Linked DNA regions of Drosophila melanogaster. The protein of the gene in region 1 interacts with the protein of each later gene in a pairwise test. Each region holds a gene or a part of one and is shown on either strand. Other genes may lie near its edges.

Region 1 (3,924 bases):
AACAATTAAAAAACAAGTATTTGCTGTTGCAAATTTATTAAATTAAATATGTGGGAATCTAATCTATACCGTAAGATTAGCTCAACTGATTAATATGGAATAGGTAAAGCAATAGAATAATTGGTGCTAGAGAATGAGAAACATAATTTAAATACTAATATAGTATATCGTAGGAAATAATATTGTACGTTTTAAGAAATGAGAGCAGAAAACATTGATTTAGTAATTCGCAAAGTTTAGCTCTGCACAATTGCAAAACCTACCACTTTTCCCCAAAATGTATCGAGGACCTTCAAACTGCTGATTTCGCATCCAAAAGTCCCAGGAACGGCTGCGGGAGCTTGTCGGATCAGGATCGGAATAGGATCATCGCTTCTTAAAACTGGGTGCTTATGCCGCTTGAGAGTTCGCTCGCGAAACCCGACTTCGGTTGTAGTTTTTCAACCTGCTCCCACTGATTATGGCTTTGCTGATCGAATATAATAATTGAAGGCCCCTGGGCATGGCCCGTTGGTTTCAAGGTGCTGGGGGCGAATCCCAGGGATTACTATGTGGGCATTTATCTGCAGAAAGAGAACTGCAACTGCAACTGCTGCAACCAGCAAGAAAGCAGACCGGCGACTGAGCAGGACAGTAGCCCCATAAGGCAGTGGCTCTAAATGAATACTGCCCCCAGCTGACTACGCCGATGTGCCGGAAGTCAAGAGGTGCAAAGTCCCCTGTCAACAACGACGTGGTCGATTTGGCAGTGGGTTCGAGTCGTCGTTTCCACAAGTGATCCAAGAGGATGTACACCATGTTGTACAGTAAAGGATGTAGTAGTATATTAAATTGAACGATTAATCAGTATACCTGTTACTCCAAAAGTAAACGGTATACTTCTTTCAAAAATAAGTAACGGGAAGAAGAAAACGTTTTCATTGCATACAAGTATATGTCTGTCCTTTCGAACAACTCGATCTCAGGACATAAAGCATTTTTAATTTTTCAAAAATATGTATGTAACAGTTGTGGGCGTGGCAACGATTTGAAACAATCTTTTGCAGCGTAGACGTAATCTGTATGCCTAATCTAAAGATTACAGCTTTTTATAGTTCCTGTAGGCTATTGATATCAGTCCTAGTTGCTTTTAGGGCCCCCACCTAACAAATACTCGTACTTCTGGCCCCTTATCAGTATAAAGATTTTTGTCTTATCTCTTTAGTGGTTGACAGACAGTGTCTAAAAGTATTTTGGCAAGATTTCATTAAGGTTTCTTGAAGGTTACAAATGAGTAGGTTAACGTTTTTGCTGTTTAGTTTTATCATGTTTCTGCGTAAATGTTGATCTTTAATGTCACCTTTTTAGTTGATTTATTTAAAGATCGTTATTTTTGCATAACTTTCAGTTGTCCTGCCGCATATTGTGGCACCATTACTACCTATAATGTGATTCGTGGCTTGGCTGGGGATCCCATGTACCTAGTTGCCCACCTACTATTACATTTAAATGGGTTTAGCCGCATCCCAGTAAATGTGAAATAGAGTAAAAAAACATTTTCCTGATGCAAATTGATTAATTAATGTGGAAATCTAATCTAATGGTATAGTTTGACTGATTACTACGAAATATGTATGAAAATCGCTCATAGAAACGTAAATAAATAATGACTTTAATTATATAAAGCTATATATAAATAATCAATTTTATAATTGTAAACTTTTCTTTTTACTGTAATACTTTAATACTATCCCTAAAAATTGTATAGGAACGCGCAGGAAATAGTAATGTGAATTTCAAGAGATGAGAGCAAATTAAAATGTAAAAGCTTAAGAGAACCTTTTAAGCCTAAGAGCGGGGCACAGAAAAAGCTTGAATTGTCATTTCGAAAATTTCCACTTAGTTCAGCCCTGCAATTCGCCGCTACTAGTTGATATTAAGTGCTATATTTTCCCCCGAAATGTCTCGTGCGACCAGGGCTTTTAAAGTGCTGATTTCGCATCCAAATGTCCCAGCACCGGCTCTGGAACTGCTCCGATCCCGTGGAGCGGAGACCATCATCTGCCAGAGTGTGCCGCCCTCGAGGGATGAGATCCTGCAGAAGGTGCCCGGCGTGGATGCCATCTATTGGGCCCATTACCAGCCCCTGAATGCCGGAATCCTGGATGCTGCTGGATCCCAGCTGCGTTGCGTGAGCACCATGTCCTCCGGAATCGATTTTGTGGATATTCCGGAGTTCCAGAAGAGGGGAATCCCATTGGGCCACACTCCCGGGGTGGTGAAAAATGCAGTGGCCGATCTCGCCATTGGCTTGATGATTGCAGCCGGTCGTCACTTTCATGCCGGTCGCACCGAAATCGAGAGGTAAGAAAAGCTGATGGGCGCTTTTTTCTCAGAAGCTTTTAATATTGAGAGCTTTTCGGATGAGGGTTGCCAACTAGTTGCACATGCCCTATATACGGCTCTACTTCTACACTCTTTTGGAATATCAGATACTTAAGTACACCTAATACTTACCAATCATTAATACGTTTCATATGAAAACATAATATAATATAAAAATATTTACAGGTCCCAATGGAAAATCGAGCAGATCAACTGGATGATGGGTCAAGAGATTCGCGATTCCGTCATCGGTTTCTTTGGCTTTGGCGGTATTAGTCAGGCCATCGCCAAGCGATTGCAGTGCTGGGATGTGGCCAAGATCATCTACCATACTCGCACCCGAAAGGAAAACGATGGCGACTTCAAGGCAGAGCATGTGTCGTTTGAACAACTTTTACAAGAAAGTGACTTCCTGGTGGTAGCTGCTCCACTTACAAACGAAACTAGAGAGAAATTCAATGGAAAGGCATTTAATCTGATGAAGAGGAGTTCTGTGTTTGTCAATGTGGCCAGAGGAGGTAGGATTTTAACTACATAACTGTATGAACGCTATTGCATACCCGTGGATTTTTTCAGGTCTGGTAAATCAAACTGACCTTCATGACGCCCTGACAAATGGTACAATTTCTGCCGCAGGCTTGGATGTGACCACACCAGAACCACTGCCCGCCAATAGTCCTCTTCTCAATGTGCCCAATTGTGGTAAGCTAGAACATTTATTTCTCTTCCCTGAGTGAACTGAAATATTATTTATATATTTCCACAGTTATCCTTCCCCATATGGGCACTCAGACAATGAAGACTACCATTGAAATGGGATTGCTTGCTGCCAATAATATTTTGAACGCCATCGAAGGGAAGCCCATGATAAGGCCAGCCTACTGAGAACATGCAAAATTTGAATGGAAGAAACTTTACCTGTATCCTACTCGGATCGGAAAATCAATATTAAAAAATGATATTAAACATATAAATGTCGAACTTGTTAACCGCAACTATAATGGATTGATATTTTTTCTTGTTTAATTGAATAAGTGAATAATTATGAAAATTATGAACGTAACCATAAAAGCTCTTCATGCGTTTTGTTGTCAGCTTTTTCTGTGATAGGGGGATCTGGTGCTCTATAAAAGTCCGGCGACAAAGCCAACCGTTTGTCAGTCGTTTAAGAAACGCAGGGAATATAACGTCGGTGCTAATAGACTCCGATTTTTGAGCATTTAAGAGCTTCAGAGAGGAAGAGCAATCAAAAAGCTTCTAACTGCTCACGAAAAAAGAGAATATTCGAAACTCTGCTCTGTGTCAGTGATTATCTATAAAGTGTGGCACTTGTAATTATTTTTCCTATCAAATAATATCTTTTCGTCACCAGAAGGACTTAAAATGTCAACAACAAAGCCGTTTAAAGTGCTGATAGCACATACCGATGTTCCGCCAGAGGGAATTGAAATCCTGAAGGAGCAATGCGAGATCCTGCAAGTAATAAATGAACCTCCAAAAAATCGGCCTGAAATTCTAGAAAAGATCAGGGGGGCTCATGCCGTTATTTGGGGTGGTCGG
Region 2 (3,621 bases), on another chromosome or scaffold:
ACGGAATCACAATCTATGCGCATCCGAATTTAATTTACACTGAAAGAAATGGGGAGCCACTTTTCACTATCGGAATTAATGTTAAATACAAATTTATTATTATTATACCCGTTACTCGTAGACCTTTAGATAGTAAAATACACTCACAATAAATGCGGATCCGAATGAGGTTTACACTGAAAGAAAAGGGAGGAACTTTTCCTGTTTTTATTTAAAATTCAGATATATTAATTTAATATTACACCCAGAAACTTACTTATTCATTTTTTTTTTTTCATTTTACTAACATTGATTTGCCAACAGAAAATGTTAAAATTTCTATTTCGTTCGCCCACTAGATGAGTAGTGGGTATCTTATAGTCGAAGAACTCGACTATAGCGTTCTTGTACTTCTAGTAATTTAGCTAATGTGCTGTTTATAGTGTAATAGCTTGATTTATTGACTTATAGATGTAGGTATCTAAGAAAATACTTATGTATTCTAATTCAAGATAACAAGATCCAATTAATATCCAAAAAGTGGACAAATACAGTTCTGTCTTCTTAAACATTAAATCTAAATGTTAAGCCGCCACCCAAATATATTAGTATTCAAACTTAAATACGGAAATACACAATTTACTTGATTTATTTGTTTAATAACAATATTTGTAGTGTAATCAAGCTGTCTATCTGTGAACTCAAAGGCTCTTTAAAGTTTAAACTGTTGACCCAATTGACGGATGGCTCCGCTATTTCCCTCTTTCATTCATTGACTTAGGTCAGTTGATCCGTAGTCATAGCTTTAATAGCGGCAAATTTATATTATTTATTCATTTTTCTGGGCCCTCTCAAAGTCAAGCCTCGCCTTTGGCCAAAATTGGCTGAGCCAAAAAATAACTTCGAGCCATGAAAACATCTGAATTATTTATGGGTATTGACATAAGCATAATTTAATCGCTACGCTTCGCGTTCTTCGCATAAATTCACCAGTCGCGTATAATACGAAACATAACAACATTATTTAGATTTAATTAATTGCTAATTTGAGGAAATTATCATTCATAGTTATGCATGATGAGCCAGAGCCCAGCTGGCGCTTCTCGAGTTACCAGCCCTGAGTGCTAAATGCTACAGGAGGGGGAGCTCCATAAACGGCGGCCGGAGAATGATGAGGTGGTGACCCAAAGTGGAGCTTGTACCTGCCATATGACGGGGCAGCAGCTGCAAACTGATAGCCAGTGGGTGGAGGAGCAAACCGGGCTATGAACTGTGGTGGTGGTGGAGCTGCTGCAGCATAATGAACGGCTGGTGGTGGTGGTGCTGCAAATCCGGTGTAGGTGGTGGTGGTAGTGGTCACTGGAGCTCCAAGGGAGTACTTAATAACTGGCTGTGGTGCCGCATAGGTTGTAGCATATTTAAAGATCGCCGGAGGTGGTGGACCATAGTGATCGACAGCTCCGTACGCAAATCCTTGATGGGCACTAAAGGCCGCTGGCACGGTGACGGTATCGGAAACGGGTACTGCTACTGGAGCAGGTACCGCCACTGGAGATGGAACCGGATATGGAGAAGGCACAGGAACTGGCACTGGGACTGGAACTCCCACGGGAACGCCCACCGTCGATGGTTCATGATGGAAACTTCCAAGCGCTGGAGCACCAAAACACATCAGAACACATATCAAAGGTATCTATATATAAAGATAAACTATTATTTTTCAGTTAAAAGTCACTTTCGATTCACTTGCTTTTGAAATATTTAACATTTTCACCCGTTATGCTTTCTTCCGTTTTCGATTTCCGTATTAAGTCACTTCTCCGCGACACTTTCACACGAAATGAATCGATTTTGGCTGACCATTGCAGGTTTATATATACCACGATCCGAGTTATGCTGATTTAGTGGGTGGAGGAGTAGGTGGAGGAGGAGTGGAGGAGGGGTCTGGAAACTAGAGGAGCCGAAAGGTAAAAACTCCATTAAGGGATCTGCGCACGACGTGCAATCGACAAGCGAATCGTGCGGCAAATGCATGCGACAAGTTTTGCAATGCCCCATCCGCAGGCGAAATTCGGTGGAAGTACGAACCACAAGTCGGTGGTCAAAACTTCAAATGAGGTAATTAAGGTGGAAGGTATAACTTCACACTTTACCGAAAAAAAAAAAATTGTTAACAGTTTAAGAACTCCGAATCAGTAAAGTAAAGATGTGAATGCTTTTGTGACTCCGTTTGAAGTCAAGAAGTCAACCTATCCAATCTTATTTTTTATTAGATTCCAATTCAGAATTGCTGTAGTCGGATAGATGGTGTTAAAATTAATAAGCATATGTATTATTTCAGACATCTTCTAAATAAATTCCTCAGATATAAGATATGCACCTTAACACACCCCTCTCTTCGGATCAACATCTTAAACTCTTCCACCTCAGAAGCCATTATCATGTGCACTTCATTCGCCCAAAGCCATGGATCACATTTACGAATGCACGCGCTACACTGCAGCAACTTTTACTGCCGCCGCCACCAGCTGCAAAAAAGTATAAAATATAAGACAAAAAAAAAAAAAGCAAGCAAGTGGCAAGAGCTGCAAGAAACCCATTGCGATCACGTTCCAGGCACCTTTTTATGCCTTATGACTCTGATTGATGGCCGTTGCCGAAATATAAATGCCAAAATATCACACGCCAGTTAAAAGTCGATTTATTACCGCCGCCAACAAAGCCATTTTCGTTGCTCTCAATTAGCCGTGGAAAAGCCCAAAAGTTGGCCGCGTCTTGTGCATCGCCTCCAAGTCGCCCAAAAGTGGGCAAACGTGTGCATGGAATTGCTACCATAAAATCTGGTCCAGAATCTGTCGTAAACAGGCGAAATTCCCGCACGGGTTGCCAATTAAATTTGGGTTGCCAAATGCGCGACACGCGCTCATCGAAATTGTCAACACAGGAGCAGGACGCTGAAAAAAAAGAATAACAGAGGAAAATCGAGGACGGGAAAGCCGGGGAAATTAGCATAACAAAGTGGCTAAATCAGAAATCGATATGTTCACCTTCGCTGAACCGAAAAAGGGGGCACAGATAGCGGGAATTTCCACGCACGTTTTTCTTTTTGTTTTCCTTTTGTGTTCCAAGTGGAGCACACGCCCAGCTTTTGAGCTGATTCTACTCCTCGAGTGGTTGCTTCGCGTTTTCCCCCATTTTCCATACAAATTTTCCACACATTTTCCGCCGCCGCTGGCAACAGGTGCTCTTGAAACGGAGCCGCATTGTAATGTAATGCGTGCTAAATCGCTGCACGTGTTTGGCAACAACAAGTGCGAATTTGTATCCCCCATCCACCACCAAAATAATACTTTGTTGCAAGCTATTGAAGTTTCAGCTGATTTGATTCACTCAATTGATTGCACACAACCTGTTAGCTGGAAGATATGCTACAAATATTATTCAAATGGTTTTTCGTTTCGAGGAAACCGTTGAATGTATACCAAATCATAAAATTATTTTCGCTCATCAATTTTGAATATGTACACGCTTTCCTTCAATCGCAATTTCATTTGAATTTCAATGTTGCCCCACCATATTATTTATACAATGCGATAAAGCTCCTTCTTGCTTATACGCAGTGAGGTCAGTCGTTGAACTCGG
Region 3 (5,573 bases), about 12 Mb from region 1:
ACAACAAAACCGGCCTCTTGAAGAGGGTTGAAATGAACGGAGTATCCGAGAACATTGAGCAGAGCTATGGTCTTTATAGGACCTATGACTCTGGTGCCTATGTGTTCCGTCAGTACAATCAAGGAGACTTCGTCATCCAGGAAGATGGTGTCGAGTTCACTGTTTACGATGGAGCTTTAGTCAAGGAAGTTCACCAGCGTTTCAGCGAATACATTTCGCAGGTCATCCGTATCAGCGAGGACAAGCCTTACGTGGAATTCGAGTGGCTTGTAGGCCCTATTCCGGTTGAAGAGGAATTTGGCACGGAAGTAGTAACTATCTTCAGCAGTGAAATTGCCTCCAATGGCGTATTCTATACTGATTCCAATGGACGCGAGTTGATCAGACGCGAAAAGGACAAGCGAGAGGACTTCACCCCCGAGCTTGCTGTCCAGCCTACTTCCGGAAACTATTATCCCATCACATCGCGCATTGCTCTGCAGGACAGCAACAAGCGCCTTGCGATCCTAAACGATCGTGCTCAAGGAGGCACCAGCATGAAGGATGGCCAAATTGAACTTATGCTGCACCGTCGACTCGTCCGTGATGATGGCTATGGAGTGGGAGAGGCCTTGAATGAGGAGAAGTACGGCCAGCCCTTGATTGCCCGTGGTAAGGTGTTCCTAATCCTTAACGCCGCCGACGAGTCCACGTCCGCCGAGCGCGAAGCCGAAAAGGAGTTCCATCTGCCCCTTTGGAAGTTCTTCAGCAAGAACACTGGAAGCACCACCGCTGCTGCCAAGTCGGTTCCCAGCTTTGACGACTTCCCCAAGTCGGTGCATCTGCTCACCCTAGAACCCTTCAACGACGATGAGATTCTGCTGCGTGTGGAGAACTTCAAGGATCACATCGAAGGCAAAGTGGTTAGCTTTAACATTCGCCCGATCTTTGACTACCTGAACGGAGTCGAAATCCGCGAAACTACCTTGGATGGCAACCTGCCCTTGAGTGACATGAAGCAGTTCAAGTTCCACGCTGAGGGTTCAGGAATTAGGGGATCAGAACCTGAGTACTACACCTCGTCCCACAAGCCGCTGTCCGCTAACCAGACGCAAGATGCCGCCGAGTTCGCTGTCACATTGTATCCAATGCAGATTCGAACATTCATCATTAAACATGAATAATTGTATTTCAATGAAAATCAAAGAAATAAATAAAATTATGTCTGAATAAAAACACTGTTGTTTTGCTTTAACTTATTAGGAAATAAGTCCCTCATACATACAGGGAAGTAATACGAGTCATATGAAAATTTTTTAAAACTTTACAAAATTCAATTAACCGCACGGGTTTAACCCAATTAACTCTGAGGTTTTACTTTAGAAGTTAGTGGAGTATTACCATGTTTATATGGAATTAACAGTTACGGCCTCATATAATTCAAGTTACTTATGACTGTTGATTACTTTTATTTTATAAGCAGTGTGCAGAAACCTTTCCCACTCACTACAGAGAGTCTCAATCATATAATTTTTATTTAAAAAAATGTATATTAAATTCTTTTTCAATACGCTAAGTTATCAATAAGGGCGCAAGTGCATTTCAGGAGCTTCAATCCTTGAAGTGGTTGATAAATAATGGGTCCAATTCTTATCGCTACGTGGAGGGTGGGCATTCTAAAAAAAAGTATTCACCAAGTTTTTAATAACCCACTAATTGCTAATTAGGTTACCTTATCTTAGTGACCATCATGTATTTTCTTATCAATGCCTTCTTAGAAACGGTGCGCCCTATAAAGGAGCAGTCTTGGTTTAATGGGAATTCAGTACTTGGTAATGACAAGATGACTTATTTGGGTCGCATTTTATTCCTGTCCATCTTATTGGTGCTCTTCGCAAAACAATCCGAAGCAGTTTGTGGCTATGAGGTAATATAAATTTGTTGATGCTTTTCAAAATGATATCACTATATCCTTTGATATTATTTGCAGTCATGTCCCGAAACAAAAGCGAACATGGTTAACATCCATTTGGTTCCTCACTCCCACAACGATGTGGGCTGGTTGAAGACAGTTGATCAGTCTTATTATGGTTACAAGAACAAAATTCATCATGCCGGTGTCCAATATATATTGGATAGTGTGGTGTCCCAGCTCCTCCAGGATCCCAAGCGTCGTTTCATTCAGGTGGAGACGGCATTCTTTGCCAAGTGGTGGAACGTCCAGTCAGAGTCCATGAAAAAGGTGGTCACCAAACTGGTCAACGAGGGACGTTTCGAGTTTACTGGCGGAGCTTGGAGTATGAACGATGAGGCAAATGTCAATTACCAGGGTGTTATTGATCAATTCACTGTGGGATTAAAGTGGGTTAATTAGAAACACTAATATTCCTTAGTCTTTGATTACTCTAATCTTCGTAGGTTCCTCAACGAGACGTTTGGCTCCTGTGGTCGTCCTCGAGTTGGCTGGCAGATCGATACTTTTGGACACTCCCGCGAGCAGGCTGCAATTTTCGCGCACATGGGCTACGATGGACAGTTCTTTTCACGAATGGATCATAACGACAAGGACACACGTATGAATGACTTGACAATGGAGATGATTTGGGATGCCAGTGAATCGATGAGCGGCGTCAGTCTCTTCAGCGGCATGTTGTACAACTTTTACTCGGACACTCCAGGCTTTTGCTTCGACATACTTTGCACTGATCAGCCCATTATTGATGGTGACAGCGAAGAAAATAATGTGAAACAGAGGGTAGATGACTTTATAAGTTATGCAAAGAATGTGTCTGAGGTGTATATCACTAATCACATCATGGTTCCTATGGGCGGTGATTTCCAGTACGAGGACGCAAAAGTTAACTACAAAAATATGGACAAACTGATCAAGTAGGTGTGATTAAGAAACACAAATCGTTTATAACTTTCTTTTGCGTTAGGTACATCAATGAACGTCAAGCGTCTGGTTCAAAATACAATATCTTCTACTCCACTCCAAGCTGCTATCTGAACTCCTTGCACCAGAGCCTAGAGTCCTGGCCAAACAAGACTCAGGACTTTTTCCCATACGCTCACGAGAAGAATAGCTTTTGGACTGGATTCTTTACTTCCCGACCCACTCAGAAACGATTCGAGCGTGATGGAAATCACATGTTGCAGGTGGCCAAGCAGCTTTCTGTACTCGCGAATCTTACTAGCGAAGAGCATAAAATAGACCTGGATTATCTGCGCCAGGTCATGGGAGTGATGCAACATCATGATGCCATTACGGGCACGGAGAAGCAGGCTGTCTCGGATGACTATGATCGAATGATGTACGAGGCCATTGTTGGGGCATCTAACAATGCCCGCGATGCCCTGCGTCTTTTGACCAACATGCCTTATGGAGAGTTTGAGAGTTGCCTGAGGTTGAACATCAGCGAGTGTGCTTTCACCAAGGATGGTGCTGATAACGTTTTGGTGACCCTATACAATCCCCTGGCCCACAGCTCCACTCAGTATGTTCGCATTCCTGTTAAGGAGGAGAACTATCAAGTAACCGATGAGAAGGGCAGAACAGTTCCATCGGAGGTGGTTCCAGTGCCGTGGCAAGTTTTGGCATTGGAGTACAGATCCAATGATACCCAGCACGAGTTAGTTTTCAAGGCAACGGTAAATAAGGTATCCAGTTACTCTATCAAAAAAGTCGAGAGCTCAGAGGTCAAACATTCATCGATAAAGAAGATTAATCCCAGAGAAGATAACAATTCAGAGACTGTTGTAGAAAACTCGGTAAGTGCATTTGATTGTCTAATAACTTAAATGTTTTTTATCCCTACGATATATAACCCATAGGTTGTTAAACTAGTGATGGACAACCATACAGGACGATTGAAGTCGGTCGAAATGAACGGTGTGTCTGAGAAAATAGTCCAGAACTTTGGCGTTTACAAGAGTCACACATCCTGCGCCTACACATTCCGCCAGGATGGAGATATAGAATTGTTTGAAAATGATTTTGAGTTCACAGTCTATGAAGGAAGTTTGGTCAAGGAAGTCCATCAGCATGTGAACGACTGGATTTCGCAAGTGATCCGTATCTACGAGGGCGTAAGCAGAGTGGAGTTGGAGTGGATGGTGGGCCCTATTCCCATCGATGATAAACTAGGTAGTGAATTTGTGACAAACTTTAAGAGTGAGATTTCTTCGAACGGAGTTTTCTATACCGATTCAAATGGACGTGAATTGATGAAACGTGTGAAGGATAAACGCGAGGACTTCGTTTCCGACTTAAGCCGACAGCCTGTGAGCGGAAACTTCTATCCAGTCACATCGAGAATTGCTCTTCAAGACGATACCAAGCGTTTGGTCCTCCTGAATGACCGCTCCCAGGGTGGAGCCAGTTTGGAGGATGGTGCCCTAGAGATGCTGATCCATCGTCGTCATCTCTTCAACGACGGTGGTGGAGTGGGTGAAGCCCTGAATGAGACGCAATATGGCAAAGGTCTGATTGCCCGAGGAAAACTTTACCTCATTCTCGATTCCGCGACAGATGGAGATACTGTGACGGAACGTAAGACTGAGAAAGAGCTCTTCCTTCCCTTTTGGAAGTTCTTTAGCAAAACTGGTGGAGTCGAAATAACTCCATCCAAATCCCTTCCCGACTTTAATGATCTTCCGCAATCCGTTCACCTACTCACCCTGGAATTCTTCTCAGAGCAAGAAATTTTGATCCGCTTTGAACACTTCTTGGATAAATCTGAAGGAAGGGTGATTAGCTTCAACATTCGGGATATATTCGATAGTCTTGGCGGTTTGGCGATTAGGGAAACAACCTTGGATGGAAATATGCCACTGAGCGATATGAAGCGATTCAAGTTCCATGCACAAGAATCCGGAACCAAGCCGTCATCCGTGGAATATTCTACGGCACAGCACAAGCCACTTGAGGCTGTCAAATCGGATGAGGCCTCACTTTTTGCTGTAACACTATATCCTATGCAAATTCGCACTTTTATTATTAAAACAGAGTAAGAAAAGTATAAGAAATAAATGATCAAAATTAAAATTACATTATTCTTATCTTTTTGGGGTCATAATCATTATCGGCTACTTCTGCATGTGGAGCTTTCCCTTTCCTGAAGATTATAGCTCGCTTGAGTGTAATCCCAAAATGGAATGGTGCTCGCAATAGTATACACATTGTAATCTTTAAGTGGGCAATTACCAATTAAAATCCATTTAAGTTATTGAATGATAAGAATTGCAATTCATGCCAAATCGAAGTACATTTTGATTACGTTAGAAACACTGGAGCACTGCATGTGGCCCAAATAAAACGCATGGTACTTACCCTTTGAGACCTCTCACTAGCGGTTGGTTTTAAGTTAATTACCTCTCTCGACTAGTTAAAATTCAAAACATTCTGAAGTGTTGATTACTTATCAGATAACCCCCCATTGAGAAGTTTATAAAAGTGGCAACTTTTATTGTATAGCCAGTTCTTGTTGTGCAGTTGCTGGTTAGGGAACTCTGCAAGATGAGTTCTGTAAAGAACTTGGCCATTTTGTTGGCCTTGTTTGCCTCTTATATTGTCCAATCTGAGGCTGTTTGTT

What was found. The genes of interacting proteins can lie anywhere in the genome.
Region 2: the proteins of CG31673 (region 1) and CG13045 interact in a two-hybrid assay, tested with the Drosophila melanogaster proteins (one large-scale study listed by BioGRID).
Region 3: the proteins of CG31673 (region 1) and LManIV interact in a two-hybrid assay, tested with the Drosophila melanogaster proteins (one large-scale study listed by BioGRID).

What each region holds. Positions count from the first base shown.
Region 1 is NT_033779.5:20,827,731-20,831,654, forward strand, and holds CG31673 (uncharacterized protein), read left to right. Parts: upstream 1-1,878; 5' UTR 1,879-1,939; coding exon 1,940-2,343; intron 2,344-2,550; coding exon 2,551-2,882; intron 2,883-2,940; coding exon 2,941-3,066; intron 3,067-3,130; coding exon 3,131-3,249; 3' UTR 3,250-3,333; downstream 3,334-3,924. Other genes in the region: CG31674 (uncharacterized protein), read left to right, coding at 3,748-3,924.
Region 2 is NT_037436.4:16,289,147-16,292,767, forward strand, and holds CG13045 (uncharacterized protein), read right to left. Parts: upstream 1,805-3,621; 5' UTR 1,730-1,804; intron 1,673-1,729; 5' UTR 1,652-1,672; coding exon 1,088-1,651; 3' UTR 566-1,087; downstream 1-565.
Region 3 is NT_033779.5:8,768,594-8,774,166, reverse strand, and holds LManIV (lysosomal alpha-mannosidase IV), read left to right. Parts: upstream 1-1,822; coding exon 1,823-1,906; intron 1,907-1,969; coding exon 1,970-2,340; intron 2,341-2,397; coding exon 2,398-2,868; intron 2,869-2,918; coding exon 2,919-3,750; intron 3,751-3,813; coding exon 3,814-4,992; 3' UTR 4,993-5,008; downstream 5,009-5,573. Other genes in the region: LManV (lysosomal alpha-mannosidase V), read left to right, coding at 1-1,163; LManIII (lysosomal alpha-mannosidase III), read left to right, coding at 5,498-5,573.